Linked DNA regions of Xenopus tropicalis. The protein of the gene in region 3 interacts with the protein of the main gene of each other region in a pairwise test. Links are inferred from orthologs where the notes say so. Each region holds a gene or a part of one and is shown on either strand. Other genes may lie near its edges. The genes, in order: pias3, topors and satb1.

The links.
Region 1: the proteins of satb1 (region 3) and pias3 interact in a two-hybrid assay, tested with the Homo sapiens proteins (2 studies listed by BioGRID and IntAct). The link is inferred for Xenopus tropicalis from reciprocal best matches to the Homo sapiens genes SATB1 and PIAS3.
Region 2: the proteins of satb1 (region 3) and topors interact in a two-hybrid assay, tested with the Homo sapiens proteins (2 studies listed by BioGRID and IntAct). The link is inferred for Xenopus tropicalis from reciprocal best matches to the Homo sapiens genes SATB1 and TOPORS.

Annotation. Positions count from the first base shown.
Region 1 is NC_030684.2:141,801,173-141,804,828, reverse strand, and holds part of pias3 (E3 SUMO-protein ligase PIAS3), read left to right. Parts: intron 1-525; coding exon 526-660; intron 661-1,116; coding exon 1,117-1,222; intron 1,223-3,185; coding exon 3,186-3,259; intron 3,260-3,491; coding exon 3,492-3,652; coding exon of another isoform or gene 3,653-3,656. UniProt on the Homo sapiens protein: Functions as an E3-type small ubiquitin-like modifier (SUMO) ligase, stabilizing the interaction between UBE2I and the substrate, and as a SUMO-tethering factor.
Region 2 is NC_030677.2:115,119,599-115,123,855, reverse strand, and holds the start of topors (E3 ubiquitin-protein ligase Topors), read left to right. Parts: upstream 1-1,440; 5' UTR 1,441-1,574; coding exon 1,575-1,634; intron 1,635-3,586; coding exon 3,587-4,257. Other genes in the region: smim27 (small integral membrane protein 27), read right to left, coding at 1,191-1,235. UniProt on the Homo sapiens protein: Functions as an E3 ubiquitin-protein ligase and as an E3 SUMO1-protein ligase. Probable tumor suppressor involved in cell growth, cell proliferation and apoptosis that regulates p53/TP53 stability through ubiquitin-dependent degradation.
Region 3 is NC_030682.2:45,021,940-45,025,187, forward strand, and holds part of satb1 (DNA-binding protein SATB1), read right to left. Parts: intron 721-3,248; coding exon 517-720; intron 1-516. UniProt on the Homo sapiens protein: Crucial silencing factor contributing to the initiation of X inactivation mediated by Xist RNA that occurs during embryogenesis and in lymphoma.

The DNA.
Region 1 (3,656 bases), on a different chromosome or scaffold from region 3:
CAGAGAGATACCATAAAACTATGGTACATAGGGATTCCCCTGTACTAAGCACAATTCAGCAGGAACAGCCCCCTGAGTTTGCTCATAGCCTATACAGAGAGATACCATAAAACTATGGCACATAGGGATTCCCCTGTACTAAGCACAATTCAGCAGGAACAGCCCCCTACGTTTGCTCATAGCCTGTACAGAGAGATACCATAAAACTATGGCACATAGGGATTCCCATGTACTAAGCACAATTCAGCAGGAACAGCCCCCTATGTTTGCTCATAGCCTGTACAGAGAGATACCATAAAACTATGGCACATAGGGATTCCCCTGTACTAAGCACAATTCAGCAGGAACAGCCCCCTAAGTTTGCCCATAGCCTGTACAGAGAGATACCATAAAACTATGGCACATAGGGATTCCCATGTACTAAGCACAATTCAGCAGGAACAGCCCCCTATGTTTGCTCATAGCCTGTACAGAGAGATACCGTAAAACTATTGATACAGTTTATTCTGTTTTTCTTGTCTCCAGGGGTATTTACCCCCCACAAAGAATGGTGCCGAGCCCAAACGACCGAACAGACCAATCAACATTACGCCGCTCATCCGACTGACATCAACGGTGCCCAACACTATTGTGGTGAACTGGTCGTCCGAGTTTGGCAGGGTAAGAGCTGCAGATACTGAGCCTTAATGTTATTGATATGTCCATGGCTCACTCCTGTGCGGCCCCCTCTGTGGCACTGGAATTAACTGTGTGTGTGCCATAGCACTGTGTAGTTTGTGTGCAGCTGCGTGGCTACTGTTGCCAGTAGAGGGCGCTATTCTTTCTGGGTGTTTATATGTCTTCCCTTGTCTGATTGGAGGGGAAGGGCACAGCCAACAAGCAGCAAATAGAGCTCAGGCAGGAGGAGGATATTACTGCCACTCACTTAATTGCATTAACCCATCATGAACCCTTAGTCACATGATGTTGTGTCACTCTGGTGGGCCGGCTGTGTTATACAAATACGCAGTGTTTCTCCAGTGACAGTGAGCCGTGTATGCTGGGCTTATCCCCTGTTAGATATGGGTCGCCCCATAGTCACACTCTTACCCCAATGTGCTTCTTACCCCTCTGCAGAATTACTCTCTCTCCGTGTACCTGGTTAAACAGCTCACATCCGTCACCTTATTGCAAAAACTCCGAGCAAAGGGCATCCGTAACCCAGACCATTCCAGAGCCTTGAGTAAGTATTTAGGGACTGAGGTTCTCCTCCTCTCCCCATGTGTTTATGGTACTATCCTGAGGTTCTCCTCCTCTCCCCATGTGTTTATGGTACTATCCTGAGGTACTCCTCCTCTCCCCATGTGTTTATGGTACTATCCTGAGGTTCTCCTCCTCTCCCCATGTGTTTATGGTACTATCCTGAGGTTCTCCTCCTCTCCCCATGTGTTTATGGTACTATCCTGAGGTACTCCTCCTCTCCCCATGTGTTTATGGTACTATCCTGAGGTTCTCCTCCTCTCCCCATGTGTTTATGGTACTATCCTGAGGTTCTCCTCCTCTCCCCATGTGTTTATGGTACTATCCTGAGGAACCAGATCCTAACCCTCCCCATGTGTTTATGGTACTATCCTGAGGTTCTCCTCCTCTCCCCATGTGTTTATGGTACTATCCTGAGGTTCTCCTCCTCTCCCCATGTGTTTATGGTACTATCCTGAGGTACTCCTCCTCTCCCCATGTGTTTATGGTACTATCCTGAGGTTCTCCTCCTCTCCCCATGTGTTTATGGTACTATCCTGAGGTTCTCCTCCTCTCCCCATGTGTTTATGGTACTATCCTGAGGAACCAGATCCTAACCCTCCCCATGTGTTTATGGTACTATCCTGAGGTTCTCCTCCTCTCCCCATGTGTTTATGGTACTATCCTGAGGTTCTCCTCCTCTCCCCATGTGTTTATGGTACTATCCTGAGGTACTCCTCCTCTCCCCATGTGTTTATGGTACTATCCTGAGGTTCTCCTCCTCTCCCCATGTGTTTATGGTACTATCCTGAGGTTCTCCTCCTCTCCCCATGTGTTTATGGTACTATCCTGAGGTTCTCCTCCTCTCCCCATGTGTTTATGGTACTATCCTGAGGAACCAGATCCTAACCCTCCCCATGTGTTTATGGTACTATCCTGAGGTTCTCCTCCTCTCCCCATGTGTTTATGGTACTATCCTGAGGTTCTCCTCCTCTCCCCATGTGTTTATGGTACTATCCTGAGGTACTCCTCCTCTCCCCATGTGTTTATGGTACTATCCTGAGGTACTCCTCCTCTCCCCATGTGTTTATGGTACTATCCTGAGGTACTCCTCCTCTCCCCATGTGTTTATGGTACTATCCTGAGGTACTCCTCCTCTCCCCATGTGTTTATGGTACTATCCTGAGGTACTCCTCCTCTCCCCATGTGTTATGGTACTATCCTGAGGTACTCCTCCTCTCCCCATGTGTTTATGGTACTATCCTGAGGAACCAGATCCTAACCCTCCTCATGTGTTTATGGTACTATCCTGAGGTACCAGATCCCCCCCCCTTTCCATGTGTTTATGGTACTATCCTGAGGTTCTCCTCCTCTCCCCATGTGTTTATGGTACTATCCTGAGGAACCAGATCCTAACCCTCCCCATGTGTTTATGGTACTATCCTGAGGTTCTCCTCCTCTCCCCATGTGTTTATGGTACTATCCTGAGGTTCTCCTCCTCTCCCCATGTGTTTATGGTACTATCCTGAGGTACTCCTCCTCTCCCCATGTGTTTATGGTACTATCCTGAGGTACTCCTCCTCTCCCCATGTGTTTATGGTACTATCCTGAGGTACTCCTCCTCTCCCCATGTGTTTATGGTACTATCCTGAGGTACTCCTCCTCTCCCCATGTGTTTATGGTACTATCCTGAGGTACTCCTCCTCTCCCCATGTGTTTATGGTACTATCCTGAGGAACCAGATCCTAACCCTCCTCATGTGTTTATGGTACTATCCTGAGGTACCAGATCCCCCCCCCTTTCCATGTGTTTATGGTACTATCCTGAGGTATCAGATCCCAGATCCCTCCCCGTATATTTCTGGTTCTGTTATGAGGTGCTACATTCCTCCCTCCCCCCTGAGTTGCAGTTACAGGTTACCTCCCCAGGGGGCGCTGTGCTTAACCGCGTTTGTTTTCATATAACAGTAAAGGAAAAGCTGACGGCAGATCCCGACAGTGAGATCGCCACCACGAGCCTGCGCGTTTCCCTCATGTGCCCGGTGAGTGCTAATGGGCTCCCTGTTTAAGCTTACATTCACTGACTCCGCCCCCAGCACTGTCTGGCTGAGGATTCTGGGATTTGTACTGTAAAACAGAGGGATTAGCATCCATTTGGCAGCTTTATTTTCCCTTCATATTAAAGGCAAAGTAACCATTTAATGGGTAATGCTTTACCGACCCGCTTGCACTCAGACTGGATTAACCCTTTGTGGCTGCTGATTTCTCTCGCAGCTGGGAAAGATGCGCCTGACGGTGCCCTGCAGAGCCATCACCTGCACCCACTTGCAGTGCTTCGACGCGGCGCTCTACCTGCAGATGAACGAGAAGAAGCCGACGTGGACGTGCCCCGTGTGCGACAAGAAGGCGCCGTACGACATGTTGATCATTGATGGGTGA
Region 2 (4,257 bases), on a different chromosome or scaffold from region 3:
TGAGAATGCTTCAGGGTGATGCATAATTGCATAAAACCGTCAGTTTTCTGTATTAGGGTTCCTGAGTGATTTACCTCACTATTAAACTTGGAAATTAAGAAAAAAAAATGATTGCTGGTCACTATCTGCACTTCTCCGATGTATGATTTAATGGGCCAGCCTCTGACAGGTTATGCCTTTACCTCTCTTGTGATCCAATCTATAAATAAGTTGCTAGCTTTGTACACATTGGAATTTTGGAAGGCTACTGTTTGTGCTGGTAGCCATGTTGTTTGCAATACATTTATGATAAATAATAACCAGAAGAAATCCATTCCATTTGAAGCAGCGTAGATGGTTTTTCACTGAGGGCAGTGAGGTTGTGGAATGCCCTTCCTAGTGATGTGGTAATGGCAGATTCTGTTAATGCCTTTAAGAGGGGCCTGGATGAGTTCTTGAACAAGCATAGTACCCAAGGCTATTGTGATACTAATATCTACAGTTAGTATTAATGTTTGTATATATAGTTTATGTATGTGTTATGGTAAGTATAGGTTGTGTGTGCTGGGTTTACTTGGAAGAGTTGAACTTGATGGACTCTGGTCTTTTTTCAACACGATGTAACTATCAAAATACTGGGATGAAATTACATATACTTATATATATATATATATATATATATATATATATATAATTTCTTGTGTGCTAACATCTAAACACCTAAGCATATGCTGATAGAGTATGGTGTTAAAAACTGTATTTTACAAAAAAAAAAGCAACCAATATATACAGCTAAATGGTTGGGCAGTTGTGTTGGGCACAGATAAACTGATTATTATTTCAGTCTTGGAGTGGGGCAAGTCCCACTAGTGCATGTTGGAGCTGATTGAATAATAATAATATTTAGCAAAGAGAGAGGCTGCAATTTGCTTGATGACTGGGTGCTACTGGGAAATAGGCATGCACATAACTACCTCATGTAAAACTTAGTCCTTAGTGTGAGAGATGTATGTCATATATAGATAACAGATCATCAAGTATAAGAAACAAGCTGCCGGGCTGTACTAATTGACTTTAAATAGTGAAACTTACCAAGTAAGTATCACAGACGTTCACACAATCTGGTAACCTTACCATAAAATACACATGATACCTTTACGTGACGTAAGCCATGTAACTCATTCAATCATATATTATACAGATTTCCTTACCAGAGAATAAATCCATTCTACTGCTCTCTTGCTTATTAAAATCATGGTTACTGGAGGTCGTTCTATCGCAGTAAACTATCATTCAAGCAATGATTCCTTGCTCCGCCTCTACGTTACTATAGCAACACCACCACATCCTGTACGAGCTAAGCGTAAGCTCGACAACATCCGTTTCAGGCAGACCTCCTGGCTGCTAGGGGGCGCTAGCTATGTAGAATATAGAGTGAACTTTCCCTGTCCCAGAATGCCTCCCTTCTCTGACTTTACAGTGTACCGGGCGGGGTGAGAGGGTAGAATTGTGTAACACGAATGGTATCAATGAAAGCATTGCCTGGAAGTCCGGGGACTATATCGCGGGTTTGAGACCCGGCTTACGGTCACGCCATGAGGGAGAAGAGAACCAAGCGGCGGAGGCCGGGAGCGAGGCAAGAAGCGAATGACACGGTAAGATATGTTTGTGTATAAACTGGAGTGACTGCGTCCCCGAACTATACCCGCTGTCATAATCGGCCTTATAGGTTTCATCGGTGGCTCGGTTTTTCTTTACCTTCCAGTAGTTGTATTAATATTTTACCGGGACCCTTGGTGTAATAGTAATAATAGTGTTCTTTCCAACACCGCCACCACACTGTATACTTCTGCTTCTGTATTTATATGGCAGCTGTCCCCTTGCTTATCTAGGGCTGTCTCGCTAACACACAATTGCTTGCTGACACCAGAGATTCAGTTGGGTTTGTATATGTTTGGCTCCTATGTAGGCTGGGCTTTTCATCTCTGCAGAGGGACGTGCAGGAGAAAGTACTTTCTGGGTACCCCTGTAGGTTCATAACACCAGTGGGAAAACTTAATAAGGTTGTATGTATGTATGTATATATATCTTTATTTCTAAAGTGCTTATTATGTACGCAGCGCTGTACAGTAGAATACATTAATACAAACAGGAGGTTAATAAGATAATAGATAAATACAAAGTATAATAATAAATACAGATAAATACAGCTGCAATAAGTTAAGAGTCGAGGACACAAGAGGATGGAGGTCCCTGCCCCGTAGAGCTTACAATCTATATGGGAGGGTAACTAACAGACACAAATAGGCAAATATAAGTGCTGTAGGTCACAGTAGGTTATTCACCTTTACATTCATTTTTAATGTTATAGAACACCCCAGCGTACAGCCACAGCATATTTATTTTAAACCTGAAACTCCATGGTTTCCATTACTTTAGTGGCTGGTTAAAATAGTCTTATTGATCCTAATGTGTCTATACATTCATAGATCCCTACTACAACCGAATGCAGGCTAAACCATTGAAAGCCCATTTTTTTGCTGAATTAGAATTCATCTGTACGTCTGTTCCTTTTTTACCTGTCTGTATATTATGTCTCCAACAAATTCTCACCTACAGTGTTACCTTTTAGTATGTTATGCAGGTATGGGACCCATTATCCAGAGTGCTTTGGGCCTGGGGTTTTCTGGATAAGGGGTCCTTTCATAATTCAGATCCCCTACCTTAAGTCTGCTAATAAAATTATTAAAACAGTAATTAAACCCAGTAGGATTGCTCCAAAAAGGATTAATTATATCTTAGTTGGGATCAAGTACAAGGTACTGTTTTATTATTACAGAGAAAAAGGAAATCATTTTTTAAAAATGTTAATGATTTGATTAAAATGAAACCTATGGCAGAAGGCCTTTCTGTAATTCGGAACTTTCAGGATAAGGGGTTTCCAGATAAGAGGTACAATACCTGTAGAATGGCCAGTTCTTAGTAACTTTTCAATTCGTCTTCATTTTTCATTTTGTATAGCTTTTAAATGTTTTGCCTTTTTTCTTCTGACTCTTTCTAGCTTTCAAAAGTGGGTCACTGTCCCCCGCAGCCAAAAAGCATTTTGTGAGGCTACAACTTATTGGTGTTTTTTATTACGTATCTTCCTATTCGTGCCTCTCCTATTCATCTCTGTGTCTCAATAATATTACTGCCTTGTTGTAGGGTCATTTAGACCCTAGCAACTAGATAGGTGCTAAAATTCCAAACTGGAGAGCTGCTGAACAAAAAATGGAATAACCGAAAAACCACAGTTAACAAAAAAAAAAATGAAGACTAGTTGCAAATTGTTGAAATTTCTATGTCTTAAAGTTACAGGATAAATTATGGAAATATTTCACGAACCACAATTCATAAAAAAAAATTTAGGTTATCATGCTAAAAGTTAATTTTAAGTTGAACTACCCCTTAAGATACAGTGCAAAGAGATACCGTATAATAATATCATTTAGCGTCACGAAGAGTAGGGATGCATTATCACATTTATTTAGCTTTTGCATATAATGTATAAGTTTACCAAATAAGACTAGTACTGTAAAATTTAATATGTGTTTTTCTTCTTTTTTAGATGATGGCATCATCCTCTAACAATTATTCACTAGATGGCAGCTTTTCACCCCAGGCTGGCACAAGCAAACTACAAAACCATGGTACTGCAACAGATGCTTCCCCAGACTCAAAGTGTCCAATATGTTTGGACAGGTTTGATAATGTGTCACATCTTGATCGATGTCTGCACAGATTTTGTTTCCGTTGCATTCAAGAATGGGCAAAAAACAAAGCTGAATGCCCTCTATGCAAACAGCCCTTTTACTCCATTTTCCATAGTGTCAAAGCAGAGGATGATTTTAAAGAATATGTCTTGAGGCCCACAATGAATGGTTCATTTGCCAGTCCTGATGGACATAGATTTCGTTATCGCACAACTATGAGTAGAGACAATCATGTAGCCATTCGGACATTAAGGTCTTCAAGCACTCAAAGGACATTTTCACCTCCTGACAATGGAATTTTATTTGAAGGGTTTTCAAATCAGAATTTACATCAAAGAGGTGAAGAAATCCACCAGATGATAAGAAGGCTAGCCTCCAGACGACAAGCCAGTGCAGAGGGTCGTTCTATGAGGCAAATTCAAGAGCAAGAACTCATTAACTTCAGAAGAGCTTTGTACCGGTCTGGAATACGTGTGAGAAACATTCAGGATGGCGGACGTTATAGAGATATTTCTGCTGAGTTCTT
Region 3 (3,248 bases):
ACTCATTTAGTTGGGCTGTATAAAAAGTGCTCAATCTAAACTTAAACATATAAATATAAATGTATTTTTGATTTACAGAAACATAGCTGATTCCACAGATTAAAGGACACAGTGATAACTCCATAGAGCTGTTTCCCAAGATCCCTTAATACTGACATTGTAATGCACTCACTTTGTTCCATTGTAAACTGATAGATTCTGGGACTGGAAGTCTCTCTGCTTACCATAGTGGGTGGTGCACAGACTCTCTAGAAAGCAGAGCGACTTTAGGCCCCAGAATTCAGCAAGATAAGGGTGAGGTTTGCATTACAGTCAGAGAGGGGTGAGAAACTGGAAAACACACAGACACAAGCTTTTATGGTTTCCTATAATCTGTGGAATTGGGTATGTCTGTAAAAATAAAATACATTTATATTTATTATATCTTATAATTTATATCTGGAAGTTCAAATAATGTTTAAGAATAAAACCATGTAATATAAGAACATAACCATTTCAAACTTCTGTTTTACCTACCTGAATCTGTTCTGCAGAAACATGGATCACATGAGATGGCCTTTCACTGTGCTGATGAACCGCATTGCTCTCTTGCTCATAAATCACATCTCTTTCTGTTTGGGGAAGACTTAGGAACCTTCGAATCATTGAAAGGTTCTCCCACAGAGTCCTGTTTTCCGGTGAAGGGTCTTCTTTCCATCGTAATAGTTCACACAGCCAGCCCTAAAAATAAAAAAAATAAAAAAGGAATGTTACTATGACTGGTAATCATATGCCAACATATATTTATCAGTACTGCTGTTCAGCAGTGACCCAGATATTTGAACCATCTACGCATTTGAATTTTACATAAACAGCATTCTATATAGTAACAGACATTAAAGGAAAATATATGTTACATCGGATTGGGTTACCCTCCATATAGTTCCCCAGCAGGAGTTTTCTGTTCAAGCCCCCTTGGAGGTCCAACCTTTGTTGAAAGAACATCCTCAGCTAGCACATAACAAAGTTACATATTTTTAGTGTATCAGCATTTTAACAACTATAAGTCTCACACCGGCTAAAATATATCTAACTCTATGTTTCTCAACACACACACACACTGGCGTTCTCATTTCTTCTCCATGAATGGTATATACAGGTATCGGTTCCCTTATCCAGAAACCCATTATCCAGAAAGTTCCAAATTACAGAAAGGCCATCTCTCATAGACTCCATTTTAATCAAATAATTCACATTTTTAAAAATGGTTTCCTTTTTCTCTGTAATAATAAAACAGTCCCTTGTACTTAATCCCAACTAAGATATAATTAATCCTTATTGGAGCCATTGGGTCAAATTACTGTTAAAATAATTGTTTTAGTAAACAAAGTAGGCGATCCAAATTACGCAAAGATCTATTATCCAGAAAACCCCAGGTCCTGAGCATTCTGAATAATGGGTCCCATTCCTGTACTTTACAGAGAACATTTTATTATTCGAATGCACCCCTTCCCAGCCCCCCCAGTAGTTGTCCTGTGTATTTTGTAATCATAGAAGGTCCCACATAAACATTACAAAGCATACAAACCCTTTATAGATAGCTTACTGGTTCAAGCTCAGCATCAGAGCCGGGCTGGCCCACTGGGACCAGGAAAAATCCTGGTGGCCCAATCCTCTTCGGCCCTGACATGTATATGTTAAGATTCATGAACATTAGAAATGGCCATACCTGACCATCTTTCCATTTTTCCCCTGATTGGCAGCCAAGTAAGCAAGTAGTGGAGTTGGAGTGGGGCAGACAGGGGGTGGCGGTGCCCAAGTGGTGGGCACTGGGTACCCCAATCTGACCCAGCATCTCAACACTGCATGGCAGCAATGTTTACTACTGTGTACATACTGTATCTATCATACACACTGTTGACTTGAGAGTCTTTTTAACATTAATGCCAAGTAACTGCATGTCAATCACTTGGATTTGGCCAAGCGGTTTGAGAACTGCCAGATTTCCCTTATTTCAATGATAGAAACAAATATAGAGTCTGCTCTGTCAGAGAACCAATTTTAAGACTAATTTTTTAATGGGCGTATTAGGAAAAATCTAGAGAATTCAGCTAATCCTCCATTTAAAAGATGAAAAGGTGACAGTCCAAATGAAACAATGTACTTTGATACTTGTTGATACGTGTAACAAATGGCAGATGGTGAAGGTGCAATGTCTACATTATTTTTAGACAACAAAAATTGCTATAAGAAGGCACGAAAGCCAAGTAAATTATTTGAACTTCAGGATGTTGCTGATTTTGAACTGTCAGAGTTTTATTTGACACCTTCTGTTCTAAATGCTGTTGCTATTCAAAATTCTGCCTTTAGTCCATGCCAGTAACCTTGCCCTCCCTTTAGTTTAATTGGTGGAATGAGATGCATAGAAACTGAAAATGCCATGCAGATGAATGCTGGGCTGTGTTCAAACCTGCTGTATACAACACAAATCCTGTAAAGTTATGTATTGTAAAGGGAAATTTATTGAGAAATAAAGGTCTTAAATCCATCTGCCACACAAGAATTATTATTATGCACTGCGTTAGAAACAAGTGCCATCTGCAAATGTCTTGCAACAGTAAGCAAGGAAATGCTTAACAATTCAATTCTCTTATTTAATATATAGAAGGCAAAAGATACTCAAAGATAAAAATCACAAATGCCCACAAATGCGGAATAAAAATTCAGGTTTGGCCTGTGAAAATAAAAGGCTTGAATGTTTAAAAAAAATAAATAAAATATATATATATATATATATATATACTAAAGAATACAGTATAAACAATAGTATACAAACATTTCCCATCATACATAAAATAATTGTGTAACTGGGAAACACGCATTATATCAAATGCTGGCCCTGTCACGCAGGTTCTGGTTATCCAGAATGGTCAGGACCTCGGGGTTTCTGGATAAGGGATCTTTCTGTAATTTAGACCTCCTTACCATAAGCCTACTAAAAAAAAATTATTTAAAAGTTAAATTAACCCAATAGGATCCCAATTATATCTTAGTTTGGATTAAGTACAAGGTATTGTTTTATTATGACAAAGAAATTGTTCTTCAATTTTTTGATTAAAATTAAGTCTATAGGAGAGGGCCTTCCCATATTTCAGAGCTTTCTGGATAACAGATCCCATACCTGTATAAAGAATGCAAAAGCCAAGCTGATCTCACAGCAAAAGTATCTGCCAGAGGCAGCTTTATTCCCATTCAGTTAAAAGGAAGTG